2 linked regions of the Arabidopsis thaliana genome follow. The protein of the gene in region 1 interacts with the protein of each later gene in a pairwise test. Each region holds a gene or a part of one and is shown on either strand. Other genes may lie near its edges.

Region 1 (4,158 bases):
GACATCAGGTGGTCCAATTTAGATTTATCGTTGTTTTATACTCTCTCTCTCTCTAGCCCAATGAGTGTTCGAAACGTTGTTGGCCGACCAAAGTCCCGTGGCTAACTGTCACGTCTCAAAATTTAACAATGTCATGTTATCAATTTTAGATGAAAGTGAAAGTGGAGCGTCGTGTTGATGATACGTTTGAATCTTGAATGGATGTCTCGTTGACTTGTTATCAGTCGACCGACTTGTGTCGCCTTAACCACGTGGGTTATATATAGGCAATGTTTCTTCTACTTTATGATCAGCTTTAAGCATGTGGGTTATATAAGCTAGTAAGTCTATATACCATGTCAACTGATTCGTTAATGTGTTTGAGAACAAGTGTTTCAAGAGAAAGAGTCAAATACTCGATATGGTTTAGTTTAAAGATGGCCATTAACGATAAATTTGAAATGGTATATAGACTTAATTACTAGCTTAAAGTGGAAAAAGTAAAGCCTATATTTTGTTGTTATTACAAAGATATAAGGCTACAATAATACTTTATTCAAAAATCAAAACACTGAAGTAGTGAAGAAGATCAAAATTGTTGTTATTACAAGTGTGAATATATTACACAAGTCACCTGAAAGTACTTTTAAAAGGAAAACAAAGTCAACATATGAACTTTTAACAAATATAATCAGAAATTATATACTGTCAAAACTTTCTACAAACGATGACTACTGACTCAACTATGGATCTGTCCTTATTTTCTTTCTTTCTTTTGGTTATACATAAAATAATTAAGAACAAACACACAAAAAATAAATAATAATAATAATATAACAATAATAAAGTCTAAAGATCATATATCATGTGAAGCTAAACGCTAAAAGCCACCTCGAAACAGAGAAAATGGATAAGGCGGTGTTGTTGGTGGATTTGACTCTACCACTCCTCCAAACGTCGCCGTTTCTTTATACCTTCTTTCTCCCTGAATACTCCCACATCCTCCTCCTCCTCCTCCGTTAACACTCTCCGGCAAAGAAAACGTCGACGTCAAAGATGATGACGTCGACGACGTTGAATTCGAGAGCATCGACTTCGCCACCAAACCCGTCTCGTAACTACCAAACTGTCCTTGCGTCATAGGAACAATCCACCCATCCGGTGAATGATTCCGGTAAAGATTCTCCGTTGATGACGGCGACGGTGTTGATGATGACATAACCCTAAAGACCCTCCCTTCATCTTCTTCCACTTCTTCTTCCTCTGACTTCACCGTCGACATCGTGACACGACGCTTCTTCTTGTCGGAAACTTGTTGTTGTTGCTTTGTCCGTTCTTTCTCGAGCATCATTCTTGGAAGAAGATCAGGATCTTCAACGACTTTGTAAAGAAACGCCATCATCTGCTCCGGTCTCTTCTCCGTCGCTTCGATCCTCCGGTTCATCCTCTGAATCTCTGCCTCTAGCTCCCTCTGCTCTTCTTTTAACCGTTCGATCTCCCTCACAATCTCACCGTCCTCCAAATCTTGACCGTACATCCCCCGCGCGTGTTTCCTACGCGCTATGTTATTCAACAAATGCTTCTGTCCCCTTAGAAAATGCTCGTTCGCAAACTCCCACCGGTCCGGATCCACTTTCCTAAACCCCTAAAGTAAATAAAGAAAGGATCATTAGTTCGTAATCCCCTGTTTCCAGTTTCATGTATGAGTTTCGGTTATGAATTAACTTACATAGGTGTTGAGTTGACGAACAAAACTGCTGAAATTGTTGTGTTTGAAATAAGCAGGTAAGATTCGTTGCGAGAAGTCGAGTGGATCAACGACTATGAAACTGTTGTGAGCAGGTCCCCAAGTGATGAGCCAATCGGTGGAAGGATCATTGACCATCTGATATGTTTTCACGATGAAAGGTGCGATCACGTTGTTGTTGTTGTTGTTGTTACTATTGTCGTCCTCCATCTCTCTCTTTCTCTGTTTTCCTTATGGTTTATATGTTTGTTGTTGGTGGTGGTAAAGAAATTAAAGAGGAGCCTGGAGGGTTTATATAAAGATAGGAAAATGAGATGTGAAAATAGTAAGTTAAGTGTAGTTGACAGTGAGACTATATTGACGTGGCTTGCTTTTTGTGATAACGTGGCGGGTTCGTGTTTTGCCTTTTACGGTGTCACGAGTGAACTGTGGGACCTATGCAGGTGTGCCTCTAAGCTTTCAGGTCTTTTTTGCCCTTTTTGTTTTGTTTATATTTTCTTATGTCACAAGTTATGTGATACATTTGAAATATATGCATATTTAGGCATTGTTTTTTCTTAATTATAATTTTAAGTCATAGATGATTTAAGCTGCTTGACTAATTCTAAGGGTAAGCTAGTCCCAATATAGAAAGCTTAGTCCATCGATTTTTCAACTGGTTTCCGATCCCGAATTAGAAGGATATCTATGATTCATTTGTAATTTCTGCACAAACAAAATTATTTGTCATGATTTCTTTCTAATTCTTGACATGATTTGTTTCTTTCACTTTTTCACAAAAGAACCTCGTCCTCTTCAAAATACTCCAAAACTCTCAAGAGTGAGAGCAACTTATAAAAAAAAAACACATTTGGTGAAACAAACAAATCTTCTACAATGAATAGAGAGGGTATAATTTAATTTATTATATTATAATTTTTCTTTAGTTTACAATTATGTTAAAAAACGTTAGAAGGAACATGCTGTGTATTCAGATTTTAACTTAAAATATCCGACTAATTTAAAATAAAAAATTGCAAACAATAACACTAAATGCCAAGTAAACATGATTTTATAGACAAACTCTTCAATCTGCAAAAGCACTCCTATTTTCTTATACATACATATCCATGGACTCTGGAATAAATAGCCACACAAGTGTTGCTACTTGCAAGAGTTATTATAGGAGTATTATTAAACAATGATTAACATAAACTACTACAAATATAATTGCTAGGTTAAGAATTAAAACCAATAAGTTCCAATAAAAAATCACACGCATCAAAGGCATTACTATTTTATAGTTTAAACCACCACCGAGAAATCCAATAGCAATCTTATATAAAATTTTCCTAATTATTAATTGGATAGATTAATGGGATTAATCTAGACTTAATTAAGGGGACGTGGGTCAAATGCTAACCACATATTACGTATGATATAATAATATAAATAGTTTGAATAAAACAACATTTATAGAATCAAAGCATGGTCCTTAATCCTTGAGAGCCTTGGAGATAATGACCTCCTCGTATAGGCGAGAGTACAGTTCTCCACTTTTCATTTTTTTAATTGTTGTCTCCTCTCTTTGTTTTTCTTAAACTATAATTTACCTTTTCAATCGAATCTTAATTACAACTTTATTTGAACAATATATATATTACTCTCATCGCCAAATGGGATTAGCTATAATCCACAAGCTATAGCTTTTGTTTGTTTAATTACGTACTATCAGTAGTACAATTTCAAAACCTAAGGACAATTTTGATTTTTATGGGATACTTGAAATTATTAGTCAAGATTGATAGGTTTAATTACTTACTACGACAAAATTTTCCAAACTAATATATGTTTTTATTAAAATTAGCGCTTTGTCAACCTACAATTAAATTTATCTATTTCGATTATTATCAGTTACATAAATTGAGAGGACGATAAAAAAGTATTTTGAGACATCTCTTCCCCACCTTATAATTTTTGTTGTCCATAGCGAAATAAAGGAGAACAAGAGATAGTGTAACAGTGAGACGGTGACGTGGTATGCTTTGTAATAACGTGGCAAATTCGTGTTTGCTTTTTACATGCAGGTGCCACAAAGCCTTAGGTCAATTAGCTTTTCTTAGATGGCAAGTTATTAGTCCGAGCCGTTGTGTATTTGTGTGAGATGTTTTCAAGAGACGACGAGCGTGTGGGTGCTTGGATACTGACATGGTCCGCACTGGTTAGTGACGGAGGAACTCAGGAACAAGTACTGATTCGACACGTTGCGTAGAATCTTTTTTGTTGGCGATGCACACTCCACTAATCGAGTATTTTTGTATTTATGGAAAGTTTATTCATTATACGTTGCTTAATTCAGGTATACGACGAACATGATTTTTCATTTTTATTATAGTGTCACACAAATATTATAGGAAACTGATGTCGTACGGATAAAATAGTTTAGTAGACGA
Region 2 (8,037 bases), on another chromosome or scaffold:
CTACTTACTACCTTGGTGGGCTAATGGGTATTACAAAAGTCAATACATATCAATAACAATCAATTTGATCATAATGTTTGAAAACAAGAAATTTTTTTAAAATATTTTTGTTGAGTTCAAAACAAAACATTGAAAGAGATGGAGAATACTTTTAACATATTCTCTTTGTCTTTTTTTCAGCTATATTATATATAAAAGGTAAAAACAAGTTGGTGAAAGAAATTTGGCTCTTGGAATAATTAAATCAAAGACCAAAACAACATATAATTATTATAGAACATCAAATGTTGCTTTCACGTATTGTCTGTTTCTGGATTATTTGTTTTTTTTTCAATTAGATAATTTAGCCAGCACATACGTTTGTTCATATATGTACGCAAAATATATGCACGTATTTCCGCATTTTTAAACATTTGTACATCTAGTATATATATAAAACGTTAAAATTTACCCAATATATTTCTAAAAAATATATTCGAATTCCTCTCTAACTATAAACCAAAATACGTTGCAAATTTTGTTTAGTCAAAAACTATCTACAGTTATATAGTAGGTCAAATTTTGTGTATATTTCACACGGTGTTTTTTTCTCTCGTTTGCATTCGTTTGTAATTATTGTTCGAGCAAATGAAGTAAAAAAAAAAAAAAGATAGGTGAGAAAATGGAACCTGGCGGATAAAGCCTTCGAGATTAGAGATCTTTCCGAGAGCGACAGCCATTTGTTGCATTCCGTCAATGACTGGAGATGCGGCGAGAGTATCGATGAGAGATTGCTGAAGTTGTTCGAGGCCTTGCGAGAGAGCCTCCTCTGCTTGTTGCGACGAGTGTTGTAGGCTATATATTCCCATCAGTTGTTGCTCCGTCAATAGATCCATTTGCGACACCAATATCTAAGATCACATCCCTTTCTTTAGTTAATCATGATTCCACAACTTTTTTATCACACGCAAATAATTAAACCGAAGAATACTCATTTCTGTTTACATTTTGCAGCAATGTTTCAGATTTGTTGATGTAATTTACTAACGTGAATATCATTTTGTTTTTCAAACGCAAAACCTAAAACTTACGTTTGTAATCATGGGGTAAAGTAAGGAAGAACAAGTCGAACCTTGATTAGGTCGGATGGACGGAAACCAGCCATCCAAATAAAACAACGTTCGGCTGGGGACATCCATGTCCCAATGATGAGGTGAAAAACATCGGCTTTCGCTGCCACGGCTTTTAATCGGAATATCTCATCAAAATGAGCAATGTAACCGTCAACGATCAACCTTAAATCATTGTCAGATAAATGAGCCTGAAGACCGGTTCGAATCTCCGACATATGCCGGTTATCATCCTCTAGCCATCTCCCATATTCCATGTCAAATATTGCAGCTCCTACGTACATTCGATTTTCAACATTTTGTTAATAATAGTTTAACCATTATTGTACTTATTTTAATACAATAATACATTGCAATTGGTGTTTTAGGTTTCAAGTACCGGAAGTGATGTTAGGTCCTGGTGGTCCACAACCACCCATGAACAGCCCCTACCATCGACATAAACAATATATTAATTTCAACAAACAGACATTATTAATAACCAATGAACAATTGAGAAACTTAGCAAATGACAGGTTTTGACAAATTTAAAAAAAGATTTAGCAGAATATATAGGATTATAGGAATATAAATGATTCAATTTCAACCTGAGAACGAGCTCGCTGAAGTTCTTGCTCCAATTGGGAAAGCTTTATCCTACTTGATTCTAGCTGTTGCACATACGCCTGCTCAAACCATATGTATATGCATTTGTTATTTTCATACTAGTATCATTACATATAGAATAACAAGAAATGCGGAACTTATACGTTCATAAATGAATTATAGAAGACTGGTAAATGGTAGATAAAGAAATAAATGCTCATGTAACAGCGGTTTCCAAGAAGAATAAAAGACACCACTGCGTATGTTTTACTAGTAGCAATAGCATTATTGTAATTCTATGCAACAAATTATCATTTGGAAAAAGTAGCAAAGAATATATAAATAGGTCAAAAAAACAAAAACAAATGATAATAATTTGAGGTGAAAAGTCAGGCAATTATATGGTCATACCTTTTTCCTAAGACGGCTTTTGCGAGCAGCTTCTCTATTTTGGGCCAAACGTCTCAACGTCTGCATAATCCAGATTTAAGAACATTTAAACAAGAAGTTAACGAATTAATTCAGGTAAAAAAGGTTACTAAAAAGTAAGTACATATATAGGAATGGATATGTCTCCTCGGGGGAGTCAAATAAAATGTATAGGAAATGATGATGATGAAAGTTAAAGTACCTTAGCATCAAGCTGTTTGCCTGAAGTTGTAGCCTTCCTCTGCAATGTCAGAGAACAGAGATGAAAATAGAAATTCATTCAGTGGAAAGAAAGTAAACATAAATTAAATTGTGTGAGTGAAGTCGACTCATGTGATAAATATTTAAATACCATTTACACACAATTAAAAAAACAGCATTATTAAATACTTTTTTTTAATGTAATATTAAATCTAAGCAATATGAACTCATTTAGGGAATATATGTGTTGTTAAAGTAAACATAGAAATGAGGATATGTAATCATGTAGTAAAAAGTAAATTATAAAAACAATAATAACACCTAGGAAGATTCTTCTGCTTTATTCCGCTTTTTGGGGATTTCATTTAATAATTTGTATTTTAAATTTGTCTGTTTTCATTATTTTATCAACGATTCGAGAGGTCAAAATTCTGAATTTTCTCTGATCCGTTTCCTTTTTGGGATCTGTGTATGTTTTTGTTTTATTGGAAAGATTTGTTAGGACATAGACATATATGAAAAAGCATGTGCATGCATATCTATCAAATGACAAGGAGAGAGAGAGATAGGCTAATGATATACATACCATGTACATGCACCAAATTAAGCATGCATGTTTCATGATGACTCCAAGTACGTACCATGCATATATCTCTTTCTAAAATTAAATTTTAAAAAGTGATGATGATGATGATGATGATGATGATGATGATGAGTACCTTATCTTCCGAAGGTTTAGGAGGAGCTAAAGTTCGAGAAGTGGAAGGAAGTCCAGATGTTGAACTTGAGTTTGCCATGTTATTATGATGAGGTTGAAGCATGAGATGATGTTTGCTACTCATAGGAGACTCCGGTTGTTGACTTTCAGCTTTGCCGGAGAAATTAGCCGATCCTGAATCGCTGCTCTCTCCTCCTGACTTGGAACTCTCCTGCAATACATATTCAACATAATCATACTCATCATCATTAACGTATAAGATAATTAATAAAAAGTCAGAAAAGGGATAATCAATGTAACTAAGGAGGAATTGACCTTAGCGTATATAATTTGACAAACGGGGTACTATAAGTTTATGTAATATAAAATAAAGTCAAGAGAAAGGAATGGAGTAATTAACTACTCTAAAATCGCTATCAGCTTTTGAGTTGAAAGAAGCAAAAATAAGAGATAGTAAGAGGAACAAGAAAGCTGAAACATGTATATAAAAGTGAGGGTAAAATGAAAATATAAGTTTTAAGTTTAAATAGGAATGCCGAAAAAGGAGAAAAAAACAAGAGGAAAGGGTCAAAGAAGAAGAAAGGGTACAGTAGGAAGAGTTTGGTGAGTTCTGATTGGCCACGAAGGGAACATCTCCAGAGTCGTAGCTCCTCCTCCTCCTCCTAATAAAGCTGCAATTTTACCCATCATTACATTTATCAGATATGTAATGTTCATATGTAATCATGTAGTATGCTAGCTACTTATTAAATGTGTGCATGCATGTATATGTGTTTTTGATGTAATTTAAGTAGTACTACAATATATTCTACTTAGAACTAACTACATCATTTATCACGTGGAATCTATATATAACATGACACATTTTACTAATAGTATAATTATGAATATTTTGATATAGAGGAAGTTAGGGAGTTGGTAAAAGATATTTTCTTCTTTTCTTATTTTCTAAATAAAGAGAAGAGAAATAGAAAAACAAGTCACGCCATCCAAGGCTCTCTTTTGCCTCCGTATCATCACCTAAACCTATCTAAAGACTTGTTCAGACTACTCTCAGCTTTTTATTTTGTTTTTTCCAGTTTCAGTTTTTTGCTCAGAATTTTAAAAACTTTATTGGAGTTTGTTAAGGAAAGCTCACGTCATGAAGATTTGAGAGAGAGAGGGGGGCTTACGTGGCTTGGCTTCCTCGTTCCTATACTTGACACCTTGCAGAACAATTGCTTCTTCTAGCTCTCCAAAATCGAAACTGGACGATCCATCTTGGTTACTGTTTCATTTATTAATAGTATTGTTTAATTAGTACAAAGAGAATATTCATCATGTGTTACTACAACTATACAATCAGAAACCAAGAAAAATTGGAGACCAAAAGGAACAACAATTAAATTAAAATATAAATACTTGATTAGAGGGTCGCATTTTGAGTTAGAAGATTAATAAAGACGGTCGCATATAATGAAAGTTTACACAAAAGCTAAAGCACATATAAAACCTATTTCGGATGATCCATAACACATTTTTTAGTTTCTGTTTTACCTATAGATTTCCGTTGACCATTTCATATCTCATAAATGAAACCGTATAACATATCATAATACTACTAAGAAAATGACAAATTGAGAATAAACAAAGAAAACCCATATAAAATTCAATTAGAGCTCAATATTAAGATATGTAATATGAATAAAGTTGAGCTTTATGTATATGTAAAGAAGAAAAGACGAAGGAAGATTTGTTAATTACATGAAACCAGAAGATGGATGATTGTTGTTGAGACCATGAATAAGTGAATAAGGAAGATGATGATTGTGGTTATGGTTTGTAGCTTCGCTCATTCTATGGTTCGCCATCTCTACTCAAGAAAACAGCTTCAATTGATGATATCTCTTCTTGATTAGTCTCTTTTCTGCAAAACACATTAAATCTTGAAATGATGAAAAAGATGATAATCACTATTGAGAGAAGCTCGAGTTAAGAAACACAAGAGAGAACTAGCTAGGGAGAGGGAGAGGGAGAGAGATTGCAAAGTCTTATAATTAATTCTTGATTAGTTGATCAAATGATTGGAATTTGAAAAGAAAAAGCTAGTTGATGATATGAACATGAAAGTAAGATATCTATGTGTTTACCTTTTGTGATGTTTTGCTTTTGGTGTTTGAGAACAAAGAGGAGAGAGAGAAAGTAGAATGGAAGCTTTCTCGTCAAAGGCTTTTTTATGGCTGAACAGAAAAACAAAAGAGGGTCCAATCTTTTCTCTTTCCGAGATACATATACAAAATTATGTGGGCGTGTATATATTTGTAGTTGGATAGAGAAATGATAATAAAGTATTAGTAATTGACTAATGTATAGTATCATTACTCTTTCTCTCTTTATTACTATTCTCTCTATACTTGTATGTGAAGAAACCTTTGTGATTCATCATCACTCTCTCCTTTTCACCACCTTTCTCTATCTATTTCCATAGTAAACACAAATTCCACTTGCTAAATTTCAAAATTTTATTGAAGAAAACAATAAAGAAATATTGATAATTTTTCATGGTAAATCAGACGAAGATCTTGTCCTTCCTAGACTTTGTCTCCAGGCTATATTTATGTGTTGCATTTTTTTTTGTTTTCCAAATAATAATATTGGGTTCAAAAAAGTTGTACAGAAAATTGAAAATTTAGTTGACTAACTTTATAGCTGTCAAGGGTGAAGCTAGTACTTGGCAATTGATCAGATGGAGTGGACGATCTCTATTCATACACAAACCTGAAATGTAGAAGTTAAACAGAAAATCAAAAGTCTAAGAGTGCTTAATTAAAAGAGCTTTATCCTTGTTAAGAAAAAGAATGGAGCTTTATCTTTGGTAAAGAATAAAAGAGCCTTATCCAATATGTAGAAGATAAATAAGATGATTGGATATAAGATTAATTGGACCGATCACAAGAAAATGGAGGTAGATTATTAAGAAAACTATCGACTTCTCTAGGTAGAAAAAAATTGAGCGAGAAGAAAATTAAATGAGAGTTTGTAATTTAGTCCATAAAATAAAAATAGAAGAAAGAGAGCAGAAAAAGAGGAGGAACCCACTAGAATCACTGACTCCTACTCCACAATCTCTCTCTCTCTCTTTGTAACCGCCTGTTTGTGCTTATTGGCTCTTTTTCATCAAATCTCTTTTTGGGCTTATTCACGTACACATTTTTTCAATAATCTATCATCTTTTCTGTAGTATTATTCATCGTATTCACGTACATGCCTATATCAAAATACGTATCTGTATATGTGAAAGTAAAGTGGTGAAATTTGCATAAAAGAATTGGGTTTCACTCTATCATCTTAGCAGCATGGATCATGCATGAAGTTATTTTTTCTAAGTAGTCTGTGTGTTAATCTAAAACCAAAAGAAAACTAACAGGAAAATTCTAGAATTATATCAAGAATCTTTGAATGGGCATGATATATACAGCATATACTTTATATTTTTGCCAAAAAAAAAATGATATATATATCTTTAGTCTAGTAAACAAATATATACTATAACTAAATGATCGAATACAACTCCCCAGCTATAGTTTAAGCTAAATTATATATATTATTTGGATGATCTAATGAGTTTGTTATTGGAATAGTACTAGAGATAGTGATGAAATAATGTTAATACACATAATCATAAATTCATAATCAAAGACAATGCATTAATGTGGGATAAGGAATGTTTGTTGATTTGTGTATGTATATTAAAATAGCAGAATCGAGTGAGTTTCTATTTCTAAACTACAACTCTTTTTGTTAAATGACCTTTGAGACAGAGAGAGGGATAAGAATAGTATGAATATAATACGTCTACTTATATGTAACACACTATACATAATTACAGATTTTTTTTTAGTTTCATCTTCAGTCTATAACCTTTTGAAAGCCGAGAGTGATAATATGTGAAACAGTTTCTGAAAGTTTTTTCTTCTTCTCAAAAATTAACAGCTTTTAGGCTTTAAGTTTCAAATTTGGATATAATAGAACTAGAGCAACTTTCTCTAGTCGGTTAACCTAACATACTTAAGTATTGAATAATTAACTATTTTGCCTCTACCAGTTCAACCAAAAAAGCCTTAGAATAATGACAATTATGTAGACCAATAAGATAAAATTAAACGGCCTTCTTGCATTAATCGTAAATAAATATAGAAAATAGCATTAAAATTATCAATAATTATTGTAAACATCTCAATCGAGTGTTATTTAAATTGATTAGTTTGGTATTATCCTATAATTTTGTTGATCGGTCAACATCCACTCCCTGTCATCACCTAAATCCTAATGCCACATTTCAGATTCCTTTCCTTTATTAGAAATTGTTATATGCCTCCTTTGATTCGTATAGCTGTTTTAGTCAATGCAGCTCTCTTGCAAATCCACATTTGTCATGGCTTTATTCCTTTAGTTTGTGTCATAATGACCCCCTCCGAATTGAGAATTTATTTTTCACGGCTCTTTAGATGCTTTTTTTGGGTTCGGTAGAAGTATATAACTCACGGTTAAGCTTTTATAGAATCTCAATATTAATTTGTCCATCAAGGCATCAAAATAATGTTTAGATTACCATCTCAGCCCAATACCGGCCATAATCTTATATGGAGGATGCATATTATTATGTAGACATCAATGATCAATCACTTTGGGACAACTACTCAAGCTCGTTTTCTAACGAATTGGGATTTTTGAATTACTTACTCAAAATAGTGTAGTCGGTTTTGGTCTAGCATGATCTAAAAAGTCCAACAAGCCGAGAGGCCCAAAACCCTAATATTCAAAACTTCGTGGCCTAAATGTTTCATCCTGTGTAATTTTCTTCAACAACCATTATCTTGGGTGAAAATTGTCAAATTTGCATATTTTCCATTATTGTCATTGACTTTCTGATTCGGTAACAGTCATATGATGTAAAAATGGGCCACATCCTTATTTGGTTTGCTTCAGGCCCATATTCGTTTGGGCTGTTAGATT

Evidence for each region. The genes of interacting proteins can lie anywhere in the genome.
Region 2: the proteins of HSFC1 (region 1) and TGA9 interact in a two-hybrid assay, tested with the Arabidopsis thaliana proteins (one large-scale study listed by BioGRID).

The regions. Positions count from the first base shown.
Region 1 is NC_003074.8:8,939,233-8,943,390, reverse strand, and holds HSFC1 (heat shock transcription factor C1), read right to left. Parts: upstream 2,326-4,158; 5' UTR 1,937-2,325; coding exon 1,709-1,936; intron 1,680-1,708; exon of another isoform or gene 1,625-1,679; coding exon 860-1,624; 3' UTR 517-859; downstream 1-516. UniProt on the Arabidopsis thaliana protein: Transcriptional regulator that specifically binds DNA sequence 5'-AGAAnnTTCT-3' known as heat shock promoter elements (HSE).
Region 2 is NC_003070.9:2,622,560-2,630,596, forward strand, and holds the start of TGA9 (bZIP transcription factor family protein), read right to left. Parts: upstream 6,036-8,037; 5' UTR 5,724-6,035; intron 5,370-5,723; exon of another isoform or gene 5,262-5,369; 5' UTR 5,172-5,261; intron 5,163-5,171; exon of another isoform or gene 4,949-5,162; 5' UTR 4,893-4,948; coding exon 4,786-4,892; intron 4,310-4,785; coding exon 4,215-4,309; intron 3,714-4,214; coding exon 3,631-3,713; exon of another isoform or gene 3,254-3,630; coding exon 3,044-3,253; intron 2,365-3,043; coding exon 2,326-2,364; intron 2,166-2,325; coding exon 2,106-2,165; intron 1,775-2,105; coding exon 1,697-1,774; intron 1,538-1,696; coding exon 1,489-1,537; intron 1,384-1,488; coding exon 1,112-1,383; intron 891-1,111; coding exon 669-890; intron 1-668. UniProt on the Arabidopsis thaliana protein: Together with TGA10, basic leucine-zipper transcription factor required for anther development, probably via the activation of SPL expression in anthers and via the regulation of genes with functions in early and middle tapetal development.